Sus scrofa: one gene and its partners. The protein of the gene in region 5 purifies or fractionates together with the protein of the main gene of each other region. This does not show direct contact. Links are inferred from orthologs where the notes say so. Each region holds a gene or a part of one and is shown on either strand. Other genes may lie near its edges. The genes, in order: SLMAP, RASSF6, VAPA, RASSF3, STK4, MAP1S and MAP1B.

Region 1 (4,332 bases), on a different chromosome or scaffold from region 5:
CCCTAGCTCTGCCATTATTTAGTTGTGAGATGTTGAGCAAGTCGCCTAACTGGTCACATTTCATTCTCTGAGTAAGCATTTCCTGAGCTCTTAGATCTGTCCTAGATACCATTTTGCAGGCACAAATAACACAAGGAGAGTCTTAGTGATCTCCACTGTCAAACAGTAAGTTTGAACCCAAGCTGTTTTCCATGTTTTTTTTTTTCTTTTTTTGTCTTTTTGCTATTTTCTTGGGCCACTCCTGTGGCATATGGAGGTTCCCAGGCTAGGGGTTGAATCGGAGCTGTAGCCACCAGCCTACGCCAGAGCCACAGCAAAGCGGGATCCGAGCCACGTCTGCAACCTACACCACAGCTCACGGCAACGCCGGATCCTTACCCCACTGAGCAAGGGCACTGATCAAACCCGCAACCTCTTGGTTCCTTGTCAGATTCATTAACCACTGAGCCACGACGGGGACTCCTGTTTTTTTTTTTTTTTTTTCTCCTTCTTGTTGTTGTTTTGGCCACGCCCTCGGCATGTGGAAGTTTCTTGACCAGGGATCAAAGTCGAACCACAGCAGTGACAACACTGATTCTTAACCCACTGTGCCACAAAGGAACTCCTTTTTCCAGCTTAAACTCTATGATTACTTTTACAACTTGATGTAAAAAAAAAAAATTGATTTACACTCTAGGAAAACAGCTTGAGAGGCATGAACACAAATTCTTTGTTCACTTCCTTCTAAATATTAGACAATAAAGAACAAAAGACCTGTATAGTGTAGCTACATTGAAGAATTTGGCTCCCATCTAGATGGCAGTTTTACACTCTTAGGATGGATCATAAGACTCAGTCTCAGTATTGTAACCAAAGTACTATAGCGTATAACTCCCATGCTGACTGGATGCTAGGCAGATCCTAGGGTGTGAGTGTAATGTCAGGACAGTATGGCTAGGCACTAAATGGCATGTAAGACCCCTGTAAAGGAAGACTAGCTTCTTAATACTACTTATATTCTGGGGGTGCTCCACAAATAAATTTAGAGAACTATTAAGCCAGAAAAGTTTAAAAAACAGAATTAATATGTCTTAAATAGTCATGTGAATTTAGATAGATAACTTGATCAATGTTTTGTATATTTCACCTTTCTGGTGCCTAATATTTTTAAACCATATGACTTAAATTCATAAGGAGTATTTTACAAACTAAACAAAACTTGAATTAAAAAAATAACATTTAACAATCGCCAGATTCCAATTAATCATATCTCAAAATTAAGGGATCAAGTCTGAACCCCTAAAATATCAAAAATTTCAAAAAAGAATAATTTAAGAGGAGTCCCCTGGTGGCAGAGTGGGTTAAGGACCTGATGTTGTCACTACTGTGGCTTGGGTTTGATCTGTAGCCTGGGAACTTCTACATGCCGCCGTAGAGGTGGTCACAAAAAAAAAAAAAAAAAAAAAAAAGTAAGATAATACTGGTAATCAAATATCAGTATTTCTGGCTTGATAGAATACAAAACTAAATGGCTCCAAATGAATTCCAAATATGAAGAACTTGAGAACATACATGTGTATGTGTATGCCTGTGTGAGCACATTTATTTATTTACTTATTTATTTATGTTTCAGGTCTTTATTTTGTCCTATTCATATTCTGAAATTGCTTTAAACATGCATTTGTCTTATTCTCTATTATTAATTAACATTCAAAAGTAATGCACATAGAACAGACTATGGAAAGACAGGACATTGTAAGAGAAAAAAATGCCTGAAAAATACTGATATTGAGCACATATGGTATAATAAGGAGTTTTAGAGAATAAGTCAGCACACCTTGTTCCTTCAACTGGTTCTTGATTTTTTTTTTTTTTTTTTTTTTTTTGTCTTTTTGCTATTTCTTTGGGCCGCTCCCGTGGCATATGGAGGTTCCCAGCCTAGGGGTCCAATCGGAGCTGTAGCCACCAGCCTACGCCAGAGCCACAGCAACACGGGATCCAAGCCACATGTGCGATCTACACCGCAGCTCACAACAACGCCAGATTGTTAACCCACTGAGCAAGGGCAGGGACCGAACCCGCAACCTCATGGTTCCTAGTCGGGTTCGTTAACCACTGCGCCATGACGGGAACTCCAGGTTCTTGATTTTTTAAATATATAACTAATATTACAGTTGTCCCTGTTTTTATGAGATAATGAGATTACTATTTTCTGATAACTCATGTTGATAAGTCTAGTCCTTTTTTTCCCTAAAGCTTGTTTCCTATGGGAACTGACCTTGATCACTGAGTTTTTGCTAACCTTAATGCTCTTTAGGAGTATAAACACAAAGCTAACAAGAGAGCAATGACCCCATTTTTGGTGTACTGTGGGAGGGGAGATGAATTAATCAAGAATAGCTTCAATAATTGGAGTTCCCGTAGTGGTGCAGCAGAAACAAATCCGACTAGGAACCATGAGGTTGCGGGTTCAAGCCCTGGCCTCACTCAGTAGGTTAAGGATCCAGGGTTGCCATGAGCTGTAGTGTAGGTCGCAGACACGGCTCAGATCCAGCGTTGCTATGGCTGTGTTGTAGGCTGGCAGTACTAGCTCCATTTAGATCCCTAGCCTGGGAACCTCCATATGCTGTGGGTGCAGCTCTAACAAGCAAAGCAAAAAAAGAAAAAACGAAAAAAAAAAAAAAGAATAAAAAAAATAGCTTCAATAATAAACATATACTACTTTCATATTCTGGATTAGAATGTAAATAGAGCTTAAATTAAAAAACATGTAATGGATCAAATTTTTAAGGAAGAAATAAATTTTAAACTATACAACAAATGCTGATGAAAAATAGGACTCTATTGAATTTGGTGCAATAAATCTACTGCATTCATTGGTTTGCCTTAAGGTACTGGATATTGGAAATATTTAACTGGTTTTAAAGAATTTTTGATCTTATACATTATCACTCTTTATATAACTGTTTGAAATTCCAAAAAAAAAACCACCCCAAAACCAAAAACAAACAAAAAATTCCAAGGCTGAATTTTATCTTTCAATAGTATCAATTCTTTATCACAGCTATCTTCTTCTTCTTTTTTGTCTTTTTAGAGCAATACCCATGGCATATGGAGGTTCCCAGGCTAGGTAGAGGTCTAATCGGAGCTATAGCTGCTGACCTACACCACAGCCACAGAAATGCCAGATCCCAGATCCGAGCCTCGTCTGCTACCTACACCACAGTTCACGGCAACACTGGATCCTTAACCCACTAAGCAAGACCAGGGATCGAACCCGCAACCTCATGGTTCCTAGTTGGATACATTTCCATTGCACCATGACGGAAACTCCTATTACAGCTATCTTCTGATCACCCTCATAAACAGAAGGGATCATTCACAAGAAACAAAGACAAACTTAGTTTTTGCAATTTATTATTATTTAGTTTAAAGGGCAAGTTCAGTCACTAAATATAGATCTTTGCTGTTTGTCTGTTTAGGGCTTTAGGGTGGAAGAAGGGGCATTTAATGAATCTGTATTCCATGAGTACACCAAAAGGAAAGGATGTAGGATGATGGTGGTGGCAGAAAAAAATGCTGATGTAGTCATTTAACATAGTTAACCTGCCAAATAGCCAAAAATAGCCTGGCTAAATATTTTGTTCCAAAAACCTATTTAAGTATCAAAATTAAATTTAATTTAGATGAAAATTTAAGATAAAGAAATATTCTGAAACTAAAAAAGAGTTCTTGCATACTTGTGCAATTCTTTTTCTTGCCGCTGTAGTTCTGATGATAGCAAAACATTTTCCTTTCTTAGAGAACGGCATTCGGTTTCCAATACATTCCATTCCTTTCTCAACTTCTCTAGTTCACCTAAAGTAGTCCCAAAACACATCTGTTAATATAGGAACATAACTACTTTTTTCCCCCTTAATGTATATTTTATATGACCATTTTTCAATTCCTGTTACTTTGCAGTTATACCTCAGAGAAATTCCCAACACCTTGAACCTCAGTAATATTTTTTTCCCCACTTCACTTTGTAAAAAAAATTTTTATTGGAGTATAGTTGACTTACAATGTTGTGTCAGTTTCAGCGTACAGCAAAGTCAATCAGTTAATACATATATCTATAGTTTCTCAGATTCTTTTCTCATATAGGTTATTACAGAATATTGAGTATATTTTCTTCTTCTGTACTAGTAGGTCCTTGTTAGTTATCTATTCTATACATAGTAGTGTATATATATTAATCTCAAACTCCTAATTTATCCTTCCTTGTCACGTTTCCTCTTTGGTAACCGTAAGTTTGATTTTGAAATCTGTGAGTCTGCTTCTATTTTGTAAAAAAGTTCTTTTGTATCATTT
Region 2 (4,332 bases), on a different chromosome or scaffold from region 5:
AGGTAATTAGAACAAATGAGCTTGACAAACAGACAGTCCCCTCCAAAGGTGAGTTGAAAGGAAAGATTGCAGCCCTTCTGCAGCTGAGTGTACAACTTTTATATCTTTTATTCCACAACTGCCTACTAGAGATATTAAATCGCTGATCCTGTGAGAGGAGAGGTGTAAGTTCTGCAGCCAGAAACCCCGTGTGGGAAAAGGAACAAGAAGAAGTGTCACAGAGTGAGTGTGCAGTCTCCTTCTCTACACAATTCCCTTTAAGGCTTAGAATTTAAACAAATACCATGTTAAGGATGGCAAACAGAGAGAGAGTGTCTAGGATTGGATTGAAACAAAGGACACACCTTAGGTGGCTTGGCACCCACGGGAATCAGAAGCCGAGAAAGAGCCATTTCAAATTATGCTGCCCCTTCCTTCCGAGGATTCTGTTGGTTCCCACAAAGATTAGCACATTAGCTAATTAATTAGAAGATTAAATCTGCTAATTAATCACAACTGAATCTAACCTTGATCATGTGTGTAAGAAGAGTGGGACCTTTCTCTGATAATTCTTACCCACCAGAAAAATCTGATACAATACGAGTGTGCATTTAACTTCAAATGTTCTCCCAGTAAGTCTCAGTACAATGGCAAAGGGCAAGCCAAGTTTTCTAGGATAGTCTTTCTCAATTTTAAACTAAAGAAGATAATTCCTGTTTGATTCACAGCATTGTTCTGATAAATAATGAAAAAAGGCACATAGATTCCTTGGAAAACACAAAATAAGGATATTAATTTATCCTCTTCTGCAGAAGAAGGAAAGGTATTGACTTACCTTGTCTACCTGGGCTCCTGAAACTCATCCCCAAGTTCAGGGTTTCTAGGAAGTGTTTTGAATTTTAATTTGAGAAAAAAAATATATATATATATTGGGATATCCATTCAAAATCCTGATGGCTTAATGTATAATACAAGTAGCCTACTGCATCTCCTTAACATCTTCCCACAGTGTTCAATAATAATCATTTTTTTGTGATTCAAATAATTAAAATGCATTCAAAGGAGCTGGCTACTCACGGAAGTTTGTAATAAGTTCTTAAGTAATACGAAGAATGATGGCTAATTTTGCCAAATTCAAAGCTGATACAGTTTCCTAAAAGGAGGGCCCAGGGTTAATTTCTACTTCTAAATGATGCTCCTGGTCATTCAGAATCATTAGCCCCATCAATCATCTAGTACCTGAAGGTGAGGGATGCAGGACTTCACCAGGCTGCCTCAGTCTGTGGTCTCTCTTCTGCTCTTTCATAAGTACTGGGCCCCTTACCCATCTTTAGTTTGGATGGGTAACCAGTCAACAATGGGAGATGGAGAGACAGTTCACCCAACAGAGCAAAGGTAATTTAACTACCAGGATTCTGCAGGTTTCAGTCAATACTGTATTTTGCATGCCCTCTTTGCGCCCTGGGATAGAGATGCTCCTTATCCCGGAGGATTTCACAGGCTAAACGGGGAGGCAGGTGCATAAAAATACAATTAACAGCATGCTCAGAAAGTGATATAGAAAAGTGGTAGGAGTTACCGTTGTGTCTCAGCAGGTTACAAACCCAAGTAGTATCCACGAGGATGCCAGTTCGATCCCTGGCCTTGCTCAGTGGGTTAAGGATCCAGTGTTGCCATGAGCTGTGGCATAAGTTGCAGATGCTGCTTGGATCCTGTGTTGCTGTGGCTGTGACGTAGGCCTCAGCTGCAGCTCTGATTCAACCCCTAGCCTGGGAATTTCTATATGCCACAGGTACAGCCCTAAAAAAGCAAAAAAAAAAAAAAAAAGGTGTTACTGTACCAATGTACCTACTACTGACTGAAGGGTCAGAAAAGCCTTTCTGACAACTTAGAATAGATTTACAAGGAGATCCTGCTGAATAGCATTGAGAACTTTGTCTAGATACTCATGTTGCAACAGAAGAAAGGGTGGGGGAAAATGTAATTGTAATGTATACATGTAAGGATAACCTGACCCCCTTGCTGTACAGTGGGAAAATAAAAAAAATATTAAAAAAATAAATTAAAAAAAGAAGGATACAAAAAAAAAAAAAAAGAAAAGCCTTTCTGGAGAATATGCTACTGGCCAAATCTTAAAGGATTGGTGGAAGAGTCTAGCTAATGGGTGTCAAGAAGTAGTAGGCGATTAGGAAGAGAATCAGGAAAATAAGAAACTGACATGTGTAGGGAATTACAAAATGTTCAGAACTGGTGAAGCCTCCTGTTTGGGAAAGAATGGCAAGGTGCAAATCATAGCAGGACTTCAGTGTTTTCTCCAAGGGAAAAGGGGGGCCTCTCTCAAGGTGATACCTGATTTTCCTTCATTCTGGCCAAAAGTGAGATGGAAGAAAAAGTCCTGGGTGCTCTCTCCATCCTTTTAGAATTCCAGTCATCTATTTATGGATGGGAGATGGATGGAGAGAAGGCCTGGTACCTCCAAGTAAACACAAAAGGGAGATGAATTAGAGAATCAGAGGTTAAATAGGGAAGAAGTGAGGCAGGAAGACAACAAATATTCATAATGCATGATTCCTTTGGGAATATTTATTAATATTTCTGAGAATTGTAAAGGATAATGAAAATATCAGTCCGACTCATATATTTAAGGTTCAGTTGCAAAAATCCACACAGAGAACTGTTTTGTGCACTTATTGCACTTCAAATGCACTTTGTCCTGATCCAGTTCAACAGGACCCAGCAATAAGATGGAACATAATTGTCTCCTATCTAGAAGGCAAGAAAAACCCTTTGTCCCAAGGAAAGAAGGAATTTAAATTTTATCCTCCCTGTTTTTGGTGACAAGTCCAGGACTAATGAAATCTTGCCTAGCTGTCTTTTCTAGGTAAAGAATGCAATCTTCCAGGAGAGGAGTGCAGCCGAGAGGGCAGAAGCTCTGGCCCCCATACACCTGAGGTCCAACCCAGTTCTGCTACATGGTAACTGAGAGTCTTGTATAAACTACCTAACCTCTCAGAGCCCTGGTTTCTGAATAACTGCTTCCTAGAGCCATGGGGATTAAGTGAGATGGTCCATAAGCATTAGAGCTTTCATCCTCGAGAGTGCACATAACAAGGGTAAATATGAAGATCATCTTCTAAGGAATTTAAACCATAAAAGATAGCTCACCTTTTGGAAAAGACATCCGGTGACTTTAGCGCAGTAAAAGATGGGATCTGCTTCTCATCTTGTATTTTCAGTTGTAGAGGGCGCTTTACTCCCCAGAAAATGTCCAACAGCCCTTCCACAATTAGTTTACCATCTTCAGTCTAAGGAAGAAACCAATCATCTCAAACATTGTTTTTGTATCATTTACAGAGGGAAAGGTTTTAACTGAAGATGTAGAAGTGAAGTCTGTCAGATATATTAATAGATAAAAATAAATTCTTGGGTAGGACTGTTTGGCTTTTAAATTTATCTACAGAACGGTTTTAGTTTTGATGCATTCTCTTATTTCTTAAAACAGCTAAAACCAGCCAAGTGGGTCATAATGACAATGACATGCCCACCAGGGGGCATAGTATGCTAAAATTTTAGCTTTCTGAACTCTTAGTTCTTCATTTAAGTGAAAGTTTAATTCTCTACTTCTATTTACCTTAAAATTTAAGCAGAATTAAAAACTGTACTGAAGTAGAAATCAGAAGAACAGCTATTGAGTAATTTCGTGGCTGTTTTCTCATTTCTGACCAGGAAAAGTATAGCTCGCAAAATTATTATGCAGAACAAGTGAAATAATACAGGTAAAGACAGTGTAAAATGCAAAACAGAAACTGAATATTTGAAAAAGATCAATAGTACCTGAGTAGTCTCCTTTAAGTCAGAAATATTATAACAGAAGAAAGAAATTCCATGCAAATAAAGAAAAATTAGTAAACATGGTGGAACACTTATTTTGTGGATGTAAATATTAATACCAAGGCACATTCTCATAGAACTTATTTTCTAATCTATTTCGCTTTTGTACATGTAGATGTCTGGTTTTTTTTTGGTTTTTTTGGTCTTTTTGCCTTTTCTAGGGCATATGGAGGTTCCCAGGCTAGGGGTGGAATCGGAGCTGTACCTGCTGGCCTATGCCAGAGCCACAGCAATGCGGGATCCGAGCCACGTCTGCAACCTATACCACAGCTCACGGCAACGCTGGATCCTGAACCCACTGAGCAAGGCCAGGGATTGAACCCGAAACCTCATGATTCCTAGTCGGATTCGTTAACCACTGTGCCACGATGGGAACTCCTACATGTAGATGTCTGTTATTAGTGTATTATTATTATAGGAAATTCAGAAAATATAGAAGGGATTCTCTAACTATCCAGTAAC
Region 3 (4,332 bases), on a different chromosome or scaffold from region 5:
CAGTTTGAGCAGGTTGCTTATACTTTGATTTGGCTTTGCAGAGAATATGCATACTAAGGCTTTAAAAAATCTGATCCTTTTTCTAAATATCTAATACTTTAAAAATTTTGTGATTTTAGTTATTTACTTCTGGGAATCATGATTCTAGAGACAAAGAGTAAGTGGGTTGTTTAGAGTAAAAATGTATCTTGAGTGACTTTATTATTCAAATACAACCTCTTCCCACGTTAAGGACTTATTTGAGCCTCCTGACAATTTCCTACCATAGCTCTTGGCTTTGCTTCCCTGGACAGACATTTGATCCCTTGCTCATACAGGAGTCACGAGAATGTACCCCAGGTTTATATTCTTTTGTTCCTTTGTTCCTCCCAAGGTTTCATTGCAAAACCCTACTTTGCCTTATATTTTACCTTTTCCTTTCTGTCTAGTCCCTAAGCCCTTGCATATTCTAGTTATCTCCAAAAGGAATAACTTAGAATATTGGAACTGAAATTCTGGAGATGGCTGGGAAAAAAAAAAAAAACAGAGAAGTAAGTTCAACTCATAGATGGAGGGGGATTATTGCAGATAGGCTAAATAATATAGAATAGCGGAAATTGTACAAAATAATCATTTTTTTTACGACCTTGATCTTCAGTTTCTTCTAGTTGCAGTTTTAGATACTGTGTTAATGTCATGTTGCTCTTCATCATTGCCTAAGTCACAGCATGTCGAGTCCCTCCAGTTTGCTTGTTTCATGGTTCTCAGAACAACCAGTCTCCTCATTCTGGACCAGTCTGAAGCACCTCTCACCGAACACGCTGTTTTCCTGGAGCCAAACCTCCCTGTGGCGCTCCTGGATGGACGAGTGTAGTTTAGTCTCAGCAGCCTTAGTGTTTCCATCAGGCTCTTCAGATTGTTGCTACTCAAATGGCTCGTCCCCCCACCCCCTCAACCCTCCCACCCCCCATCCTGGTTAGGTTATGTGTGCTTCTACTTTAAATAAATTAATCTGTAAATAAATTAGACTTCTTTGCATCTAGTCTTTATGTTGACTGGTTTGTAGGGGCCTGAATGACACTGAGTCCATGATATAAGTACACTCAGTGTAACTTTTCCATGACTTATTTGGCTCATTTTTGAAATGTGTTTAAGCTTCACTGTATCTTTTGCATTCCAGTCTTCCCACATTTATGCTCCACAAATTGGTTATGACACTCAAATTGGTTTCTTCTCCTTTTCCTTATAAAAGCAACATAATAACATTGAGAAACATTTCAATAAAAAGAAAAATCTAATTCTGCCACCATGAGAAGATATTGATTAATGTTATTTAAAATCCCAAAGAGTGGGAAGCTACCCATCAACTAACAGGAGTGAGGTGTTTAAGTCATTTTGATAAGGCACAGGATAGAATATTTAATGACATCATGTCATTTAAAGTAATAGTTAAGGAGTTCTCATTGTGGCTCAGTGTTAACAAACCCGACTAATATCCATGAGGATGTGGGTTTGATCCCTGGCCCTGCTCAGTGGGTTGAGGATCCAGCATTGCCCTGAGCTGTGGTGTAGGTTGCAGACATGGTACAGATATGGCGTTGCTGTGGCTGTGGTGTAGGCAGGCAGCTGCAGCTCCCATTTGACCCCTGGCCTGCTCCTGTGGCCCTAAAAATAAAAATAAAATAATTAAAATAAGTTTGCATACATGAATGATAAAAGCATTACATGTATGCTGATTTTAGAAGCTATGCATATGAGGGAGTTACCATTGTGGCACAGTGGCAGCGACTCTGACTAGTATCCACGAGGATGCAGATTCAATTCCTGGCCTCGCTCATTGAGTCCGATTCCACCCCTGGCCTGGGAACTCACATAAGCTGCAGGTGCGGCTCTAAACAGCAAAAAAAAACAAAAGCAAAAACAAAAACCCCATGCATATGAGAAAATATTGGAAGATAATATATAAATAATGGTTATGTTGGGTTGATGAGAGGGTGGTGAGTTCCTCTCTCTTTCAAAATCCTCAATTTTCTGGAGTTTTAAGAATTTGTTTAAAAATTGAAAGCCAGTCGTGAAGAGTTTGAGGATTCCTCGTTTTAATTTTTTCCCCTCTGGTTGGCCTCTTGTACCCTCCTCTTAATTTTTTAGTTAACTTTCTGTGGTATTTTTGCCCAGACCTGAAGATTGCTCGGTTGCCCTGCTGTTGCCTGTTTGCCTTCATCTTTAGAGCAAGGTTTGCTCCATTTGCACAATTCTTGTTTTCTGAAGCCCACCCACTCTCATGGGTACTCATGTTCTGAGTTGGTAGAGAGCAAAATATATCTAAAACAGAATTTTTAATAATAGTGATGGGATCAGTGAGGACGACGGGAGGTTAGAGCGGACAACAGGAAAGACGGGAGAAGAAGACAGAGAACATTGAAGCAGACTTCCTAAAAACTCGTCACAGCTGGGAAGCTTCCGAAGAAAATGAAAACTCAGAATGTTGACCGGAACTTCATTATAATACTAGTAATTTTTACATGAATTTAGACAGCAGTGATCAAATCACATTCTCTTCATAAGAAATAGTAGTTTTGTCCCTTGAACAAACAGTATATACTTAATATAAAGTCAGGAGCTGGGTGCTGTGGCAGGTGTGTAACCTACAGTTAGACTGGTGAGTGCTGTGGAATGCTATAGTTGATTTTGGAAATGGTTTTTGTTAGATGTTTCTACCCTTCCATCTGAAAAGTTAAGGATGAGACTTGGTGCATGCATTTGGGTAGGGTGTGTGTGATGGTGTGGATGATTCTGGGGAAAGGGCGCTGAGGCCACAGGCTCAGGACCCTGACCTCTGTGTGTGTCTCTGAGCCTTTGCCACTGGTGTCATGCATGTGAGTTCTGGCAGGACTGAAGATTGGGGGCTTACAGATTTTTGTGTGTGTGTCTTTTTAGGCTGCACCTGCAGCATATGGAAGTTCCCAGGCTAGGGATCCAAATGGAGCTACAGCTGCTGGCTTACGCCATAGCAGCAGTGACACCAGATCTAAGCCGAACCTGTGACCTACACCACACCTCATGGCAACACTGGATCCTTAACCCACTAAGCAGGGCCAGGGATCGAACCTGCATTCTCATGGGTACTAGTCAGGTTCATTACCGCTGAGCCACAAGGGGAACCCCTGGGGCTCACAATTTTAAAAGTGCTTGAATACCAGTGTGATTTCCGTGTTGAATTCATAAGCAGGCGTGTTCTCAGTTATGGTCGTGTGTCCTTAACGTCATGAAACTGACTTTCGCCTTTTGTTCCCATGACACATCTTTGTCTTCATTATTTTCCCCTTCAGTGTTTCTATCCTTCAGCTTTTTTTTTTTTTTCCATTGGTAGAAGTTAGGTTTCCTTTGAAATGTTCTTTTTGGATAGTCTCATTTTATTGGAAGGATTGCAGTGAACTCCCCTTTTGCTCCAGAGCCTCCTTGGAAGTGCAGAGTCAGAGCACTGACAATGAACTTCATGTTTGGATTTTGGTTGGTGGCGCTTTTTGTACTTACGGAGTAACTGCTGTTGGCCCAAGTGCTGGATTTAGGGGTCAGTGTACAGAGAGCTGACTCTTGTCTCCCTGCCTTTGAGGTTTGGTAGGGAGGACACTCCGGGTCCACTATTGCTCTGTGGTGGAGTGAGTGCTCAGGGCCATGGGCGCACAGGAGGGAGTGTGCTGCTCCTGCCGACCTCCCTGACCGCCTGCCAACACTCACTAACTTAGTCCTGAAGGTGGACAGATGACTAAACATTTGGTATTTTAAAAACTTCCTAATAGTGAAATTGAAAATTGGGAAGACTTTTCATTTAAATAATTTTTTGGAGAAGGATGTGGAGTTTAAATTTTTGTTTAAAACCTGTGAGAAGATTGAGTCCTTTAAAAGAACTCCGATCCACTGTCTTTGTGATGCAGAACGACATGGAGCCCAGCAAAGCTGCGCCCCTGAACGCCGCCAAGCAGGATGGGCCGGTGCCAAAGCCGCACAGTGTTTCCCTCAGCGATGCGGACACCAGGAAGCTGGTGGAGGAGTGCAAGCGGCTCCAGGGAGAGATGGTGAAGCTGTCGGAGGAGAACCGGCACCTGCGGGTGAGTGCTTGCCATAGCATGGCCTGAGTGGGGCCAGGCGTGGGTGGGAGGGGCCGCTTGATGTCAGCCTTGACCGAAGCCTCTCCAGTTCCTTTTCCTTCCCCCAAGTGCGTTTCTGTCCTGGCCTTGGGCCCCAGCCTCTCACTGCCCACACGCTCCCTTCTCAGCAGCGGTCCTGGGCTTCCTCTTGCTCGTTCTGCCCTCAAGGTCTGTGCCCTGGTCCCATGCTGCCACATGGTGCTGT
Region 4 (4,185 bases), on a different chromosome or scaffold from region 5:
GCAGTGACAACACTAGATCCTTAACCTGCTGAGCCACGAGGGAACTCCTTGAATGCATTTTTGACTTAGGATATTTCCAGTTTATGATGGGTGTATTAGAATGTAACCCCATCGTAAATCAAGGATAATCTCTGAATACAGACTTTTCTCTTCTTTCAAAAACACAAAACTCCTTATTAGGATCACCCGACAGAGGCCCAAAACAGTGTATAATTCTTGCAAACTAATTTTGCAGCAGAAGGACATTCATATAATTAATTATCAACTGGTGAGAAATTTTGAAAAGAAACCTAGGGCAGGAAATGAACTCCCTTTAGGAGATAAAAATTCCAAAACATTTCCACTGCATCATGAGTAGTAACCCAGGCCACACTTGCAAACTAGATTCTTCTGGATATTTTGGCAAAAAAGATTTTACATAGAGCCATCATTTTTATTGTAACATTTTCACTTATAAAGCAGCTGTGGCACTTGAAAGGGTTTTTTTTTCCCCCTTCATGGACTGGTAACAGCCATGCGCCTACCTCACTACCTCACTAGCACCTCTAGGGGGCAGTGCAGCAGTAAAAACACTTGCCTTCAGCAGGCTTGGAGGCCTATGAGAAGCAGTCCTGCACCCATACCCATCCGGTGGGTCACATTGACCACAAAATGCAGATACTTGAATGTTGAAAGTGGTCTGTTCTAAGAATGGGAGACCTCAGAGCAGGAGTGGGTGGTGGAGAAAGAGGATTTCTAAGGAAGGGCCAATGTTCTACTTGGGTAGTGGTCACAGGGCAGCCACTTTACAGTAATTCTTTACATGGTTCTCATGCTTTATACCCTTGCAAATGCATGTATATGTCATAATTGTCTCCTGTGGGCAGACACTCACCTATGGTTATTTTCCCCAGAGGATAAGGCAAAGGAAAAATGACATTTGGGAGAAGAACTGTGCCCCACTCAAGCCTAATGAAAGTTGTCAGGTGCCGGCCCATGTTCCTGTGTCCCCAGTTACCTGCACAAGTAGCTCCTCCCACTCCTGTGACTTTCTTTACCTGGTGCATTACCATAAATAAAAACACACAAACATCAATTAACAACTTCAACTTTTAATAATGGAAACAATTTGCCATTCCAGAAACAATTTTAGAGAAGAAAACTCTTCCCCATAAAAATAAACTTAAATTCATCAAAATTATAAATATTATAATTTTTTTACTTCTGTGATTTAAAATGCTCCCCTGCAATACGACCCCTTCATTTAACCTCGTTCCTGTACCATCACATATTGAAGAGAAAACAGTATTACAGCAAAGCTTAATAGTTTAACATCAGAATTTGTACAATGATTTTAAAAAAATCTTTGGCCTCAGTGGCCTTTTACACATTAAAAATGCTGCTGCAGTCGCCAGTGTTTTGGGAAAGACCGTCGGTCTTCAAGAACCATGAACCAACAGGATTGCGACACAGTTTTCCAAATTGCGACTTGTAGTGCACATGACAGTGAGCGAGGTCCCGGATAATGCAGATGAGGATGCCTAATTTAGACAATCTACTTCAAGTAAAAAAAAAAAAAAAAAAAAAAAATTCACAGATACCCATCAACTACTATATTAAGGTTCTAACAGTGTCTGAATCTGAGAAACATAAGGCTTCACAAAATAAGCGCTTACTGGGATGGGTAATTAAAAGACCAGGTGGTTGATAACAGTATCCTCACACCCAAGCCATTCTCTGAATAGTAAAACCAGTACAAAAATCATGAAGGCATTCCCTGAACAATGAAGGTAAAGTGTTAGATGACAATGTCACTAAAACCTCATTAATGCACGAAAAAGAAGTTGCATGCAAAATTAAACAAGAGGTGCCATACATATTTTATAGCTAGTTCTACTTTTTTTTTTCTTTCCAACTTTCCTTAAAAAGCTCAGGAAGATATGATTGTCTCAGTAATGCATGTGGCAAAGCAGAAGCGACACTTACATCTGCCTCCAACAAGAAGGGTGTTCTCTGAAAAGTCAGAAGGGCCACCACAAGGACCAAAGAAATGCAATAAAAAAAAGCCACAGTTCACTGAAGAGGCAAAGAACTGAAGCACCTTGGAATTTCAAAAAGAATCCATTAGGTGTCACCAAAGTGTTAACAATTCCTTGGGAATTTATAAACAAACAATATCTAGACTAAAAACAGACTGTAAGGCCACTCCAGAAGCACAGCACAACTTTCCTGTTGTTTTCAGATTAACTGCTGTGTAAAATGAGGTTATTTCACTTGCTCCGAGGAAGGCTCCTATTGCACACGCACTCTTTGGTTTGCAGGAACATGCACTTGTGTGAAAACACCTCCATAAAGAACCCCCTCCTGTGTGGTCAAGTGGGGGGGCTGGTGGACGCTACCCTCCTCCTTACAGTCAGGTGGTCACCCTTTGGAACTGAGGATCTGACAGTCCTGGGTCTTTAACCCACACCACTGTTCCGCTCTGTGTAAGATGAGGCTTCAACTTGTAAAACAAAGGGAGAAGGGAAAGAAGTGAGTACAGGGAAGGAGGGAGGAGCGAGGGGAAAAAAAAAAAGGGAAGCCGAGGCAGAGGAGGGAGGGATTGTCACCAAAGTGTGCCGGGAGCTCTTCACCGGATCGACCTCCCGGCTGCTAATAACTGGGGGGCGGGGGGGGGGGGGGTGGTGGCAAAAAGCCGCCTCCTTCCCAAACTCCTTTTCCACTTTGAAAAGGACCTGGGAGGAAAGCTGTGACGTCACAGGAGTCATCGCAGATGCTCAGGGCCCACGGCCCCACGGCCCAGAGAAGCGGCACCCATCGGACCGCGCACCCCGAGAAGAGAAGGCCGAATGGGGGCTGGCAGCTGAGAGGGCAGCTCTGTCCCGTGTGAATATCCACGCTGGGTTCCCTGCTCCGCTGCAGTCAGCCCCTCCTTCCGGTCTAGCTCCTACTTTCTTTGGTTCTGTTCCCACATTTGACTCGCCAGGAAATCAAGCCATAGACAGTGGGTTTAAGGTCTCTAAACTGAACGTCTCAAAACGGAAAGCGTTTAACTCATCGACAAGCAAATTCACCTCCTCCTCTACCCTCCACTCCTGGCCCAAACCACCGTCCCTCAGGGCTCCCCGCCTCCACCCACCCTCTTCCAAACTTACTCTTCACTTTCTTGGTCAGACTCCTCCAGAATCCTTCACCAACTCCTCAGAGGTCCTAGCTTCCTGTGCCCTTCAATTCCCACAGATTGTTTTCTCTGACATTTAAAACACCAAAACCCCCTAAACCAACAGGTAGTTTCAACATAGGATAAGTATTCCAACCGATTCCTTGCTAAGCTTCCACCGAAGCACCGGCACAACCTTCAGCTTCACATCCTCATCACATCCTAAGGACAACGAGCTAAAAGAAGAAGAAAAACAAAAACACCACCCAAGAGTCCATGCTTCAAAGCCCCCCAAAATGCTCCAGATGAGACTACAGGTTCACAGCTTGCCGAGAGGTAAGACCGCGGTGCCGAAACGGAACAAGCGTGCAGGATCCCTCCCGGAGGGCGCCGAAGTGCTGCGTGACCAGCGTGGGGAACTAGGCCTAGAAATTTCGTTCAGGGGAAAGGCCCGAGCATCATGGGGCAGGAAAACCGCCCTCCGACAAGAGAGACACCAGCTGCTGGGTTTGCACGCAGGTCCCACGCCGTCCCCGAGCCCGAGGGGCAGGGAGCCCCCACGCGTTACCCGGGCTTCCACGCCTCGCCGAGGGCTTCTTCCAGCTTGTGTCTGTAGGCTGCGTAGCGCTCCTTCAGGTTCTGCAGCTGCTCATCTTCTTCCTTGTCCAAGATCCGCAAGAAATTCTGTAGCTCTGGCAGGCTGAAGGCTTCCCACTGTGAGAGGACACAAAAACCGAAAAATGCCAGGTGGTCAATTCAGCGTCAAGACTTAGGAATGCGGACCACGAGCCCAGGGAGGTGACCAGAGTTCTCCGAAGTCCTGGTTGGCAGGAGGAGCCTCCCCACTAGCCCTGCCTTCCTCTCCCCAGGTGCAGCCCTAAAAAAAAAAAAAATCTGGCGTTGTCACTGCACTGCTCTGGTCACAGCTGTGGTACAGGCTTGATCCCTGGCCCAGGGCACAACCAAAAATAAAGCACTTGGTCCTGCTTTGAGATGGAAAGGCATTTACAGGCAAGAAGCAATGTTCAGTTTGGACTTAACACAAG
Region 5 (4,332 bases):
CACTATAAGCCCCCAAATTGCAATGAAAGTCTGAGTATCTCAAAGAAGGAAGTTATGACAATTAGAGAAGCTGATAGAGCTCTCCTTCCCCCTCTTCCTCCCTCTGATTTCCCTCTCTCTCTCTCCCTCTTTCATCTGTACTCTCGTCCCATAAACCTCACGATATCCAGCAAGCTTTTTGGGGGTTTTGCTGACCAAAGTACACTGCCACTCAAAGTGAAAAGGCAAGACCAAACATCAACATCTTGAAGAGAACCCCAGCCCTGTAGCTGTCAAGTTTCCCTCTTCCCTAAAAGTTACCACCACCCCTGGATATAATAAGTGACTGCAGAGTTCCCGTTGTGGCACAGCAGAAACAAATCCAGCTAGGAACCATGAGGTTGCAGGTTCGATCCCTGGCCTCCCTCAGTGGGTTAAGGATCCGAGGTTGCCGTGAGCTGTGGTCTAGGTCGAAGACACGGCTCGGGATTCCGCATTGCTGTGGCTGTGACATAGGCCAGAAGCTACAGCTCCGATTTAACCCCTAGCCTGGGAACCTCCAGAAGCCGTGTGTGCGGCCCTAAAAAGCAGAGAAAAAAAAAAGTGACTGAAAGGAGGTCATAAACCTAGAAGTCCCCCAAATCACAAGAGAGTCATCAGCCTCCAAGCCACATTAATTCTACATACTTGAAAAAAAATTGGCCTACTACATGGCAATTAAATTCTACTATTTCCAAAAAAAATAAAACTATAGGAAATACTGTAGGTTCAGTTCCAGACTGCTGCAATAGAGCAAATCACATGATTTTTTCGGTTTCCCAGTGCATATAACAGTTATGCTTCCCCTATACTGTAGTCTATTAAGTGTGCAATAGTTTTATGTCTAAAGAAACAATGTATATACCTGCATTAAAAAAAATAATGTATTGCTAAAAATGCTAACCATCATCTGAGCCTTCAGTGAGTTATGATCTTTTTTTGAAATAGTAACGTCAAAGATCACTGATACCATATCAAATATATCAGCAATGGAAAAGTTTGAAATATTGCGAGATTTACCAAAATGTTGACTAGAGACGTTAAGTGAGCAAATGCTGTTGGAAAAATGGCACCAACAGACTTCTTGATGCAGGGTTGCCACAAACCTTCAATTGTTAAAAGCAATAAAGCAAAGTGCAATAAAACGAGGTATGCCTATATTATTTATCGTGTTTCCAATAAAAGAAGTACAGTTTCTAGAAAAAATAAAACTCTGCAATAAGCAGCTTACATTATATTCATTCAATCTAAAAATATAACCAGTAAATCTTCCCATCCTTCTCCACTTCTGCCCCCTACAAAGACGGAGCTTATCTTTGAGCACACGAATACTTTATTTTGTATATATATTATTTTCACACAAATACTTTTAAAAAAAACTGTTAGGTCTTTTGACAGAAGGACTACTTAATCAGAGGAGAGGAGGAGCTGGGATGGGCAGTCTGGAGAGGACTACGGAGCCCTTGAAGGCCGGGTTGAGCTCTTGCAACAGTGCTGTGACGAGGGGGGTTCTATGGTGGCTGAAGCCTGGAAACTGCTTAGCTATCAACACAGAAGGAGTTTCAATGGAGAATGACTCTATGGGCCCTTCATACTCCACAAGCGGATGGAGCCTGGAAAGCACAGAGCCTCCAGAACTCACTCATGTAAGGACGAGACAGGAAAAAGACAACAAATGAATCAGGCTGGGTGTTAGTGACATGAGTTCAAAAAAACAGTCTGCTTTCCTCTTAATACTATTATAAGAAAAACAGAAAACACTGCAATAAGCAATAACTGGTACTTGGTGAATACGGAATCGTGGAGACTGGGAAAGTGCTAAGCCCACGCCCCTGTATGAAGGTCAGGACTGCTCCTCAGCTCCAGTTAATGCTGTTATATTAAAACGCGAGAACCTGAACTATTAAAAACACACACAATGCACAAGTCAAACCAAGCATTTCTTGGCCCATGTCCTGCCAGAGGGCTACGAGTACACAATCTTTGGAATGGAGAGGAGTGGATTACACTTGAATTCATAAGTGACTACAACTAATGGAAGTGTACAACTGGAGTCTAGACTGACACTTATCAACTATTTAAAATTAATTCATTTATTGTTTGGTACCTAACCAAGTAAGTCGCTGAACCAACCTTCTAATGATCACTGGTAACTAACCACCCCGCTGATATTCTGTCCATGTTCTTACCCTCATTGGATGGATATCGGCATACGGCGGCTTTCCTTCGGCCATTTCTATGGCAGTGATTCCCAGTGACCAGATGTCTGCCACACAGTTGTACCCTATTTCCTGAATCACTTCTGGAGCCATCCAAAATGGTGTCCCTATCACTGTATTTCTTTTGGCCATGGTATCCTAAAATAGAAAGGAGGAAGATCAACACCAAGCATTAAAACTACTGGGAAAGAGAGTCCTGTCCAAACCAACAAGAAGACACGACTAGGACTTGAAATACACACAAAAACCATATTAAAGAAGCATGATCGATCAAGCAGCCACAAAAGAAATTCAAATGACACAGACATGTAAAAGAGTCTCAATTATTTAAACATAAAAATAACAATCAATTAATAAAACCACTAAAATGAAATTGACAAAAATTAAAAAGATTAACAATAACTAGTACTGATAATAGGCAATTTGGCAACATTTATAAAATTTAAACGTCCATATCCTTTGACCAAAATCAGTTTCTGAGAGTTCCTGCTGTGGCGCAATGGAGTAAGAATCTGACTGCAGTGGCTCGGGATGCTGCAGAGGCACGGGTTCGATCCCTGGCCCAGCTCAGTGGGTTAAGGATCCGGTATTGCCATAGCTGTGGCTTGGATTCAATCCCTGGCCCAGACACTTCCATATGTCACAGGTACAGCCATAAAAAAAAATCTGTTTCTAGAAATGTGTCCTATGTATAAGTACCCCAAGATATATGCATAAGTATTTCAGAAATATTTGTAATAGAAAGGAGAAAAGAAAAAGGAAACAACACGAATTACCAACTAAAGGCAACAAGTTAAGTACAATAAATATCCACACAATGAAACACCACATTAAAAAAAAAGGAGCTAGGAGTTCCCGGCATGGCTCAGTGGTTAACAAATCTGACTGGGAACCATGAGGTTGTGGGTTCGATCCCTGACCTTGCTCAGTGGGTTGGGGATCCAGCGTTGCTGTGAGCTGTGGTGTAGGCCAGCGGCTACAGCTCCAATTGGACCCTTAGCCTGGGAACCTCCATATGCCACGGGTGTGACCCCAGAAAAAACAAAACAAAACAAAAGAGCTAGATACATTTTTTTTTAAATTTTATTGCTGCCTCAGCAGCATATGGACATTTCTGGGCCAGAACTGAATCTGATCCACAGCTGCAAACTACACCAGAGGTGCAGCAACGCCGGATTCCTTTAACCCACTGCACTGGGCCAGGGATTAAATCCATGTTTTTGCAGTGCCCTGAGCCAGTGCAGTTGGATGCTTAGTCCACTGCACCACAGCAGGAACTCCTAGATACATTTTTCTGACATGGGAAAAATGTACGAGACACACTGTGAAGCAAAAATATTAGATTCAAAATTACATATAACATAGCCTTGTCTTTGTAGAAGAAAAGTAATGATCAGAACAATAATTTAAAAAAAAAATAACCAATAATAATAAATATTGCTGTTATATGGATAGCGAAAAAATCTCCAAGGAATATACATCAAACTATTAACAACAGCTCTATCTAGAAGACAGAATCACTAAGGACTTTTACTTTCTACCTGCATATTTCTGTAACACTTGGATGGATTGTGTGAGCATGTACTACATGTGAAATCAAGAAATGAAAAAGAAAAAAATATATGTGTGTACATTCATTTGTCCATATATAATTTCTTTTTATAATATACATGTTTTATATAATATTATATACATTAGTGGAGTTCCCATTGTGACTCAGTGGTAACAGCAAACCCAACTAGTATGCATGAGGTGGCCTCGCTCAGTGGGTTACAGATCTGGTGTTGCCATGAGCTGTGGCATAGGTCGCAGACACAGCACGGATCCCAAGTTGCTGTGGCTATGGTATAGGCCGGCAGCTGTAGCTCCAATTTGACCTCTAGCCTGGGAACTTCCATATGCCGTATAAAAAAAAAAAAAAGAAGAAGAAGTATGAAGCCAATTTGGTTTCCTTGGTAAGACTGCAATTGAGATAATATTAATATACTATTATAATATAATAGTATATTAATATATTAATAATAATATTAATATATTATTAATAGTATATTAATATTAATATAACATAATAATTTATAACAATATTATAGTTTAC
Region 6 (4,332 bases), on a different chromosome or scaffold from region 5:
GCCCGGGCGGCCGCCTCGCGGCTGGTGCGTGGCGAGGACGAGGCAGAGCTGGCCCTGAGTCTCCTGGCCCAGCTGGGGATCACACCCCTGCCCCTGCACCGCGGGCCGCTGCCGGCCGAGCCCACAGTGCTCTTCCAGAAGATGGGTGTGGGCCGGCTGGACATGTACGTGTTGCACCCACCCTCGGCTGCTGCTGACCACACACTGGCCTCCGTGTGCGCCCTGCTGGTGTGGCACCCAGCAGGCCCCGCTGAGAAGGTGGTACGAGTGCTGTTCCCTGGCTGCACGCCTCCTGCTCGCCTCCTGGATGGCCTGGTCCGCCTGCAGCACTTGGGGTTCTTGCGGGAGCCTGTGGTGACCCCCCAGGACCTGGCAGGGCCTCGGCGAGCTGAGAGCAAGGAAAGCGTCGGCTCCCGGGACAGCTTGAGGCGAGAGGGCCGGGCCACGGTGCCCTCCAGGCCTGCCCAGGAGCGCCCCGGGGTGACCCGAAAGGAGCCCCCGCGGGCCGAGGCCCCTCGCAGGGCTGAAAAAGAAGCCAGGCCCCCCCGGGAGGTGAAGAAGGACCCCAAGCTGAGTGCCCCTCGGGCAAGGGAGCCAAGGGAGGTACGCCGGACGGCCTCCGCTGTGGTCAGCAGCAAGAAGGCGGGTGCCCAAGCTGCTCCCAAGCCCCGCAGAGCACCCAACACACCACGCCCTGGTGTCCCACCGGCAGAGAATGGGCCCCGCAGCCCTCCCAGCTTCCGATGTGGAGAGGCCAGCCCCCCCACAGAAGCCTGTGGCTCCCCAGCCCCTCAGCTCGTGGCCACCCCCAGCCAGGAGAGCAGCCTGGAGCTGGGGCTGAGCCCGGTTGGGGAGGATGGCGGCAGCTTGGAGGAGAAGACACTGGAGCTGCTGCTGGCCACCAACACCCCCCAGCCGTGCTCGCCCTCTCCTGCCGGAGCCCACCAGGGCCAAACTGAGAGCTGTGGGCCACTGTCACTGAGCCCACTGCGTGGTGGAGAGGCAGGGCCAGATGCCTCCCCCACAGTGACCACGCCCTCATTACCCGCTGAGGTGGGCTCCCCACACTCCACAGAGGTGGACGAGTCCCTTTCCGTCTCCTTTGAGCAGGTGCTCCCTCCACCGCCTGCCACCTCGAGCGAAGCCGGGCTGAGCCTCCCACTCTGTGGCCCTCGGGTGCGGCGCTCAGCCTCCCCGCATGATGTGGACCTGTGCCTGGTGTCACCATGTGAGTTTGAGCACCGCAAGGCCGTGCCCATGGCACCGGCACCCGTATCTCCTGGCAGCTCCAATGACAGCAGCGCCCGGTCCCAAGAACGGGCAGGCGCTCCAGGGGCCGAGGAGACGCCACCCACATCCGTCAGTGAGTCCCTGCCCACCCTCTCTGACTCGGACCCCCTGCCTGCTGGCCCCGGAACCGCGGACTCAGATGAGGACACAGAGGGCTTTGGAGTCCCTCGCCGTGACCCACTACCTGATCCCCTCAAGATCCCCCCACCACTACCCACCCCACCCAGTATCTGCATGGTGGACCCTGAGATGCTGCCCCCGGAGCAGGCTCGGCTGAGAGAGGGCCTCAGCCGTACCCGGAAGCCCCTCACTCGCCCCAGCCCCGGCACTGCCGCCCCCAAAGCCACTGCAGGGACTGCTGCCAAAACCAAGGGGCTGGCCAGTGGGGACCGGGCCAGTCGGCCACTCAGCGCCCGGAGCGAGCCCAGTGACAAAGGAAGTCGGGCACCCCTGTCAAGGAAGCCCTCGGTCCCCAAGATGACCACTCGAGGTTCATCTGGTAAGTGCCTGGGGGCTGGAGTCCTGCACTGGGCTCCCTGCCCAAGTCCTCCTGTTCCCTACTTGCTGTGTGGTCTTAGCTACTCTTCCTCCCCACCCCCCACCCCCAGTGGGCCTCAGTTTCTCCTATCAAATGGAAACTAGCCTGACTGTTTAAGCTCTTACAATTCCAAGGTGCTCAAGCAGTACTCTCAATGGAAAAGTAATGGGGGCACATCCATCATGGTGACTCTTTCCGTAGCCATGTTAAGCTACGGAAACAGGTGAAGTTTATTTTATTTTTTGCTTTTTAGGGCTGCACCTGCAGCACACGGAGGTTCCCAGGCTAGGGGTCCAGTTGGAGCTATAGCTGCTGGTCTATGCCACAGCCACAGCCGCGCCATATCTGAGCTGCACCTGCAACCTACACCACAGCTCACAGCAAGGCTGGATCTTTAACCCACTGAGCGAGGCCAGGGATCGAACCCACAACCTCATGGTTCCTAGTCGGGTTCATTTCCGCTGCGCCACACTGGGAACTCCCAGGTGAAGTTATATTGTAATAGTATATTTTATTAAACCCATGTGTGTCGAGGTTCCCAAGACCACCCCCAGATTTTATGATTGGCTGGGAGGACTCAGTGTGTGGTCATGCTCATGGCTAAATTTAGTAACAGCAGAGGATATGGAGCAGGATCAACATAGGGAAAGGCATGGAGGGAAGCCCCAGGGAAACCAGGCACAAGCTTCTGGAGCCTTCTCCCCGTGGAATCACGTACCACGTGGTGCATTCCCTGAGATCTGCACTGTGTCTGCGACAACATGTGGAAAGGGCCATCTACCAGGGAAGCTCCTTAGAGACTCAGGGCCCAGGGTTTCTATTGGGCCTGGTCGTGTAAGCACCCTCTGCCTCACACTCACACTAGAAAGTGTTCCTGGATCCAATTTTTAGACACTAGCCAGGTAGGCCACAGTTCCCCTCAATTCTGACACTGTATGCCTGGAGACAGAACCACATTCTACAGGTAAAGGGCTCAGTCCCACGAGCGCCCTCCTCTTTAGGTGCCAATCACTAGGCCAGGTTGTTACCTGTGCTTCTGTCCAACTGACTAAATCAGAGGTTCCCATGACCCCCTCACTGGGTTTGATTAATTTGTTGGAGTAGCTGAAAGAACTCAGAAAAACCCATTTGCTCCCTAGATTACCAATTTATTATTAAAGGATATTAAAGGATAGGAACAGTGAAGAGATATATAAGGCAAGGTTCTGAACAAGGGATCTTATGTCCACATGGAGCTTGGGGCCCTGCACGGTGGCACGAAGCGTTCTGTTTCTCTGATGTGGAAGCTCTCTGCAAAAGGGCCAAAGCCTGTCCTTTGGGGGCTTTTATGGAGGCTTTGTTACATAGTCATGGTAGACTAAATGTTTGGTCTGTGGTGATTGATTCAACCTCAAGCCCCTCTCTCCTCCCCAGAAATAGAGGGAAGGCCTGAAAGTTCCAACCGTCTATTCGCACAGTTGGTTCTGGCAACCAGGCCCCAGCCTGGAGTGGGATCCAAAGTCACCTTCATTAACATAAACCCGATTATGATGGAAAGGACTTGTTTTGAATAATGAGACACTTGTGTCACCTTTTTGGCCCTGAAATGTTTTTGGTAATTGAGGACGAGAAACCAAATATAACAAAAGATGTTCCCATTGCTCTTATTGATCAGGAAATTCCAAGGGTTTGGGGAGCTATGAGCCAGGAATTGTGGAAGAAGACCAAATACATCTAAGGATGACCAAATATATCTCCTTCTTGTAAATCACAAGATCACAGTCTGCTCCCCGGTGAAACAGACCCCTTACAGCCAAACAATCATACCTATTACAGCAGTTACACTTGCAGCAACATCTGTAGAACAGAGAGAACAATTGTACCAACACAAATAGGCCTGACATTTGGAGAAGCTGGTGTCGGGTAGAGGTCGATTTAAAGAAAAATGTCATCTGCTACTTGTTCCATATGGTAAACTTGTGTGCAACTATTTAGCACAGAAATCAGTAGGTGATTAGCCAGATTCAGCTCCTCCTCAGGCCAGGCATTTCCCACAGGCATTACATCCTGAGGAGGCTTTAGCTCAGTCTCCCAGTGCATTTGATTGGCAGTATCAGTAGTATTATAGGACCCATGCACATCAGGTTGAATCTTAGCAAGGCCAAGTTTGTACTGTATTATACCATGGTCATGGTACAGTTCTGTTTCATTACAGAACAAATCAGTAAGAATGACAGAGGTGTTCACTTTGCCTTCCCAATAGAATCTGCCTTTGCCCACATCCCAGATGTTATTAAGGACAGAGGTCGTGACAGTTGGCCTCCGTTCAATTAACTCCGGGTTCCAAGGTGACCAGGGACAAAGGTGGTCACCCTGCCTCAGCTCACAGGCTTCTACCAGAGTCTGGTTATAGAAGAGTCTGTGTTATAAAGCAGGGCCCACCTCCCTCCTGTGGGAAGAACACAAGTGGTACGTAGAATATTCCTCCCCCTACTAACTGTGCTGCAGGATGTGTTCTATTTCTA
Region 7 (4,332 bases), on a different chromosome or scaffold from region 5:
TCACATGGGGATTTGGCAGGGCTGTCTGTCTTCTCATAGTAATAGCCACTCACATCTGCACCCCGGGTAGTTTTCTCATAAGACTCATAGTCGTAACTCTCTTCGTCTGGGGACCTGGTTGTCATCTCCGGCTTCTGATAGGCATAGCTGAAGTCGCCGGGTGTCTTCCCACCACTGTCCTTCTCCATGACCGATGTGGCCAAATCTCTACTCAAGGCTAGATGGTGTGGCATCGTATCAAATAACATCGAGGCACGGAAGCCATAGGGCTCTGCGGATGCTGCATCCGTCGGTGGAGGAGAGGCAGCGTGGCAAGCGGCAATGCTCTCCTTGACTGCAGAGGTAGAATCTGAAAAACTCGGGGAATATAAAGGAGAGGACTCCCTCGGCGTGAGTGGAGAGATGTCGGATTTCGGTGAGAGCTTCTCTCCTTCCAGACTTTGCACTTTTTCAGAGGTGAGGGAGGCATATAAGGATATATCTCGGGGAGGAACAACATCGGATAGAGTATCTTCTTGGAGAGGAGAAGCTATCTGAGAAGGGGTGTGTGCGGAAGAGGTGGATGGGGAAGCCTCGACCTGGGATACTGAGATGAGCTCAGAAAGATCATTATCTTGGGTGTAGGACGGCTCTTCCGTTGGTGGGATCTTATGTGACAGACTGGAGTCCTGCATGTCAGAAGGACTATAGTCCACCTCCGTTGGCCCATTTTCAGTGATGTGAAGCATACCTGCACCCACTGTAGGGTGATCTGGAGACTGTCGGCTGAAGTCCATAGCAAGAGAATGCTCAGGGGATTCCTGGCCAAACTCAATAGACATGGAGGACTGTTCAGATCGGTGATCCTGAACTGGTGTCCTAGACTTGGCTGTTTTAGGGGAGAAGTCTGGCGGAGAAATTGACATTGGTCTGGGGCATTCTTCTTTAGATGGAGACATTTCTGTTTCCTGGAAAGTGGTGGGCGTTTGCACGACAGACACTGAAAGGGAGTCGTCTACTTCGGTGGAATGTGGGGAACCGACCTCCGCATGCAGCGAGGGGGACACGTCATCTGTTGTTGGCTCTGGAAATGAGCTCGTAGCCACAGAAGCTGTGGAGACCGAGGCCACTCCCTCCATGTGAGAGTATGTGTCTTCTGCCACACCCTCGTCAACAGGGGTAGCTGACTTGTCTGAGACAGTGCCTTCAGAAATGGACATCTTAGTGTCTTCCTTAAAAGATCCAAACTGACTGACATCTATCTGTGTAGGAGAAACATCTCCTAACTTCCTTTCATCCAGAGCCAGTCCTGACTGAGAACTCAGCTCCTCAACATCGTCAGTTTTCTTTTCTTGATCAAAATCTTCCTTTATTGGTATAAAGTCTGTGCTTTTCCCTTCCTCTTTGTCTTGGAAAAGACCAGTGGAAGTCGTGTCGGAAACTGGACTTATTTGGTCTGGAGAGCCTTGTTTTCCATTCTTTCCCTCAAAGGGGCTTTCTGTGTATCTACCAGGAGCCTTGTCGTCGGCACTTAGAAAACTTTCATATGCAGACTCGGATCCAATTAGCGGTGGGCTCCGTAAAGGAGACAAAACTTTCTCAATAGGAGACTCTGAGTCAGGCACAGGTTCATCCATGGGGCTTATGGAAGCCCTATCACTCTCATCTTTGGCATCACTGAATTCAAAGCTGACTGGGACTGCCGCTGGTTTTTCAATGGCTTCTGTGGGAAGGTGACCAGATTTCTCTTCAGTGGGAGACTGGTAGTAAGGTGTGTGGCCAGCACTGCCAGTCACAGACTGAGATGGAGACACCACTTCCAGGGTCTTATCCTCAGGACTGGCACAATGTTCTTCAACGACTTCTTGGGTCACCTCAGGAGACACTGGGGCTACTTCCGCCTCTGCTGAGACTTTAATCTCATTGGGTGTCAGAGAAAAGTTCACACTGCGTTCACCCAGAGGGGTCTTTTCTATGGGTGATGGCGGAGATGGACTCAGGGACGGGCTCTTGGGTGGACTAAGTTTTTCATCGGAAACTGCAGAGACGGTGTCTTTGACCTCCAACGTGGCACTGGCTCGCACTTCTTTGTCTTCAGAGCAGTAGGCATCACGCAGAGCAGATCTGCTAAATTTGTCTTCCTCCATGGATGAGGGTGGTGAGATGGTGGAGGCTGAGGCATTGTAATCCTTTCCATCAGTGGCATCTGTTTTTGACCCTTCAGACAGTCCGTTGAGTGATGTCACGGCAGGTTTGGCGTATTCCTGAGAATACAGTGAAGACTCGTATTTGGTGATGTTTACAAATTCTTGAGACGGGGACTCTGTCTCCTCGTTGTTGGTCTCATCACTCATCACATCTCGAGGAGTGGACATCTCATCCATGGGGGTGGGCTCGCTGGAGATCTCAATGGTGGACTGAGTGTAGCCGGAGGTGGCAGTGAATTCTTCGGGCTGGTCTTCCCGGTTCTCCTCATCAGAAGCGGTGGCCTCACTCTCCGAGCCACCAGGTAAGGTCTCGTCATGAATTGAAGATGCAGGTTCTCGGACAGGAGACTGGGCTCCCACCTGCTTGGCGGCTGTGGTGAGGAATCCATACTGGTCCTCGGCACCACCAGCCCCTGCAGCCTTATCGACCACGGCCATCACGTAGTCTTCGGCTTCAGCCTTTTCGGGCTCATAGTCTTCCTCCCTGGCATCCTCAGCTTTGTCCTCCTCCTCCTCGCCCTCCTCCTCCGACTGCTCAGCGTCTCCCTTCTCCAAGGCCTCGTCCATGTCTTCCTCTGCCCGGTCGTCGCCACTGGCGATGGACTCCCTCTTCTCCTTGATGTGCACGTCGGCCTCAGCCTTCGCGCTCTCCTCCTCCTCCTCCACGGGGCTGTGCTTGGATGTGCGTGTGCACACACTCTCCTCGCCATCCTCCTCCGGCTCCTCAGCCTCCTCTGTCTCCGCCTTCTCTTCGTAGTCTCCGGTCTCGGAAGACTCCTCAAAACCCGCTCCTTCGTCTTCAAATTTTTCAGTGTCTTCCACCCCCTGCTTCTCGACGGCCTCCAGCTCCTCGGGTGTTTGCTCGCATTCGCCCTCCCCCTCTGTGGTGGTGATTCCCTCATCGGGGGACTCGGCGGGACCCTTGATGACTTCGGTCTCTTTCTGGATGACATAGGCTTCGCCGGGCTCGGTTTCCTTCAGTTTCTCTTCATCTTCGATCAGCTCCAGCTGAGGCTTCACGTCTTTTGCTACGTCGACCTCTTCGGCCTTCAGCTCTTCAAAGTCCTTGGTCAGGTCCTCGGGGGAGGACATAAGGGACCTCTCGGCTTCGAGTTCTTTGGCGGGGCCAGCGGGCGCCATCCCAGCCGCCACGGCCGCTGCGGTGGCCACGGTGCCCAGGGCGACGGCAGCGGCAGCCTCTGCTGTCCTGCCTTCCTTCTTAACGACTTTAATCTTCCCCTTCTCCTTTGGCTTCCCGGCAGCAGCAACAGATTCTTTCTTGACAGGCTCTTCCTTCTTGGGTACTTTTGGTTTTAATGCAGCTGGTTTTTTTGCTTCAGATACAGGAGTCGTGGATTTCTTTGTGTCTTTGGGAAGCTTCTTGATTTCTTTTTTGGGTTCCTTTTCCTCCTTTTTAATTTCCTTCTTTTCTTCCTTCTTAACTTCCTTCTTGGCTTCCTTCAGTGGGGTTTCCTTCTTAACCTCTTTTTTGACTTCTTTTTTCTCTTCCTTCTTGATGTCTTTTTTGACTTCCTTTTTCACCTCTTCCTTTTTTGGTTTTTCCTCCTTCTTGATGGGTGTTTTGTCCTCCTTTTTAGCCACTTCTTTCTTTGGCTTTTCCTTTTCCTTCTCCTCCTTCTTTTCTTCTGGTTTTGCCTTGGTTTCCTTTTTCACTGTCTTCTCCTTGGCGACTTTGGGTTTAACGTCTGCACCTTGTTTTTCAGCCCCTTCGGCTTTGGCCAGAGGCAGCTCTTCTTTGCTGGGCACCTCCTTTTCTGTCACGGGAGGTTTGGTCTCAGTTTTCACTGGTTTGTCTTTTTTCACCGTTACTTTTTCTTTGCTTTCGACTTTAGGTGGCTTTTCTACCTGAGCAGCTTTTGTGACTTCAGGGGTTTCTTCTTTTGACTCCTTTCGCACGGCTTTGCTGGGAAGGGGTTTCGCCGCTGGCTTCAGACTCTCCCGGCTGTCAGCCCTCTGTTTCAGTTTCACCTGTTTCACAGCAGGGGTGGCCACCTGGCCAGTTAGATCCTTCTGCGTGGCCAGTGGCTGTTTCAGGAAGTCCAAATGCTTGAGCTTTTCCAGTCCTTCCAGAATATTGTATTGGGTGCTGTTGCCAGGAAACAGGACGCGGATGATTTTCTCTGCA

What was found.
Region 1: the proteins of STK4 (region 5) and SLMAP purify together in Homo sapiens (co-immunoprecipitation; 3 studies listed by BioGRID and IntAct, with this or other methods). This does not show direct contact. The link is inferred for Sus scrofa from reciprocal best matches to the Homo sapiens genes STK4 and SLMAP.
Region 2: the proteins of STK4 (region 5) and RASSF6 purify together in Homo sapiens (affinity purification with mass spectrometry; 5 studies listed by BioGRID and IntAct, counting the BioPlex papers as one, with this or other methods). This does not show direct contact. The link is inferred for Sus scrofa from reciprocal best matches to the Homo sapiens genes STK4 and RASSF6.
Region 3: the proteins of STK4 (region 5) and VAPA purify together in Homo sapiens (affinity purification with mass spectrometry; 3 studies listed by BioGRID and IntAct, counting the BioPlex papers as one, with this or other methods). This does not show direct contact. The link is inferred for Sus scrofa from reciprocal best matches to the Homo sapiens genes STK4 and VAPA.
Region 4: the proteins of STK4 (region 5) and RASSF3 purify together in Homo sapiens (affinity purification with mass spectrometry; 5 studies listed by BioGRID and IntAct, with this or other methods). This does not show direct contact. The link is inferred for Sus scrofa from reciprocal best matches to the Homo sapiens genes STK4 and RASSF3.
Region 6: the proteins of STK4 (region 5) and MAP1S purify together in Homo sapiens (affinity purification with mass spectrometry; 3 studies listed by BioGRID and IntAct, with this or other methods). This does not show direct contact. The link is inferred for Sus scrofa from reciprocal best matches to the Homo sapiens genes STK4 and MAP1S.
Region 7: the proteins of STK4 (region 5) and MAP1B purify together in Homo sapiens (affinity purification with mass spectrometry; 5 studies listed by BioGRID and IntAct, with this or other methods). This does not show direct contact. The link is inferred for Sus scrofa from reciprocal best matches to the Homo sapiens genes STK4 and MAP1B.

Annotation. Positions count from the first base shown.
Region 1 is NC_010455.5:39,705,037-39,709,368, reverse strand, and holds part of SLMAP (sarcolemmal membrane-associated protein), read right to left. Parts: intron 3,838-4,332; coding exon 3,720-3,837; intron 1-3,719. UniProt on the Homo sapiens protein: Associates with the striatin-interacting phosphatase and kinase (STRIPAK) core complex, forming the extended (SIKE1:SLMAP)STRIPAK complex.
Region 2 is NC_010450.4:69,790,179-69,794,510, forward strand, and holds part of RASSF6 (ras association domain-containing protein 6), read right to left. Parts: intron 3,285-4,332; coding exon 3,145-3,284; intron 1-3,144.
Region 3 is NC_010448.4:98,215,998-98,220,329, reverse strand, and holds part of VAPA (vesicle-associated membrane protein-associated protein A), read left to right. Parts: intron 1-3,914; coding exon 3,915-4,088; intron 4,089-4,332. UniProt on the Homo sapiens protein: Endoplasmic reticulum (ER)-anchored protein that mediates the formation of contact sites between the ER and endosomes via interaction with FFAT motif-containing proteins such as STARD3 or WDR44.
Region 4 is NC_010447.5:29,110,785-29,114,969, reverse strand, and holds the end of RASSF3 (ras association domain-containing protein 3), read right to left. Parts: intron 3,854-4,185; coding exon 3,704-3,853; 3' UTR 1,076-3,703; downstream 1-1,075.
Region 5 is NC_010459.5:47,407,443-47,411,774, reverse strand, and holds part of STK4 (serine/threonine-protein kinase 4), read right to left. Parts: intron 2,376-4,332; coding exon 2,208-2,375; intron 1-2,207. UniProt on the Homo sapiens protein: Stress-activated, pro-apoptotic kinase which, following caspase-cleavage, enters the nucleus and induces chromatin condensation followed by internucleosomal DNA fragmentation.
Region 6 is NC_010444.4:60,018,833-60,023,164, reverse strand, and holds part of MAP1S (microtubule-associated protein 1S), read left to right. Parts: coding exon 1-1,789; intron 1,790-4,332. UniProt on the Homo sapiens protein: Microtubule-associated protein that mediates aggregation of mitochondria resulting in cell death and genomic destruction (MAGD). Plays a role in anchoring the microtubule organizing center to the centrosomes. Binds to DNA. Plays a role in apoptosis.
Region 7 is NC_010458.4:48,486,515-48,490,846, reverse strand, and holds part of MAP1B (microtubule-associated protein 1B), read right to left. Parts: coding exon 1-4,332. UniProt on the Homo sapiens protein: Facilitates tyrosination of alpha-tubulin in neuronal microtubules. Phosphorylated MAP1B is required for proper microtubule dynamics and plays a role in the cytoskeletal changes that accompany neuronal differentiation and neurite extension.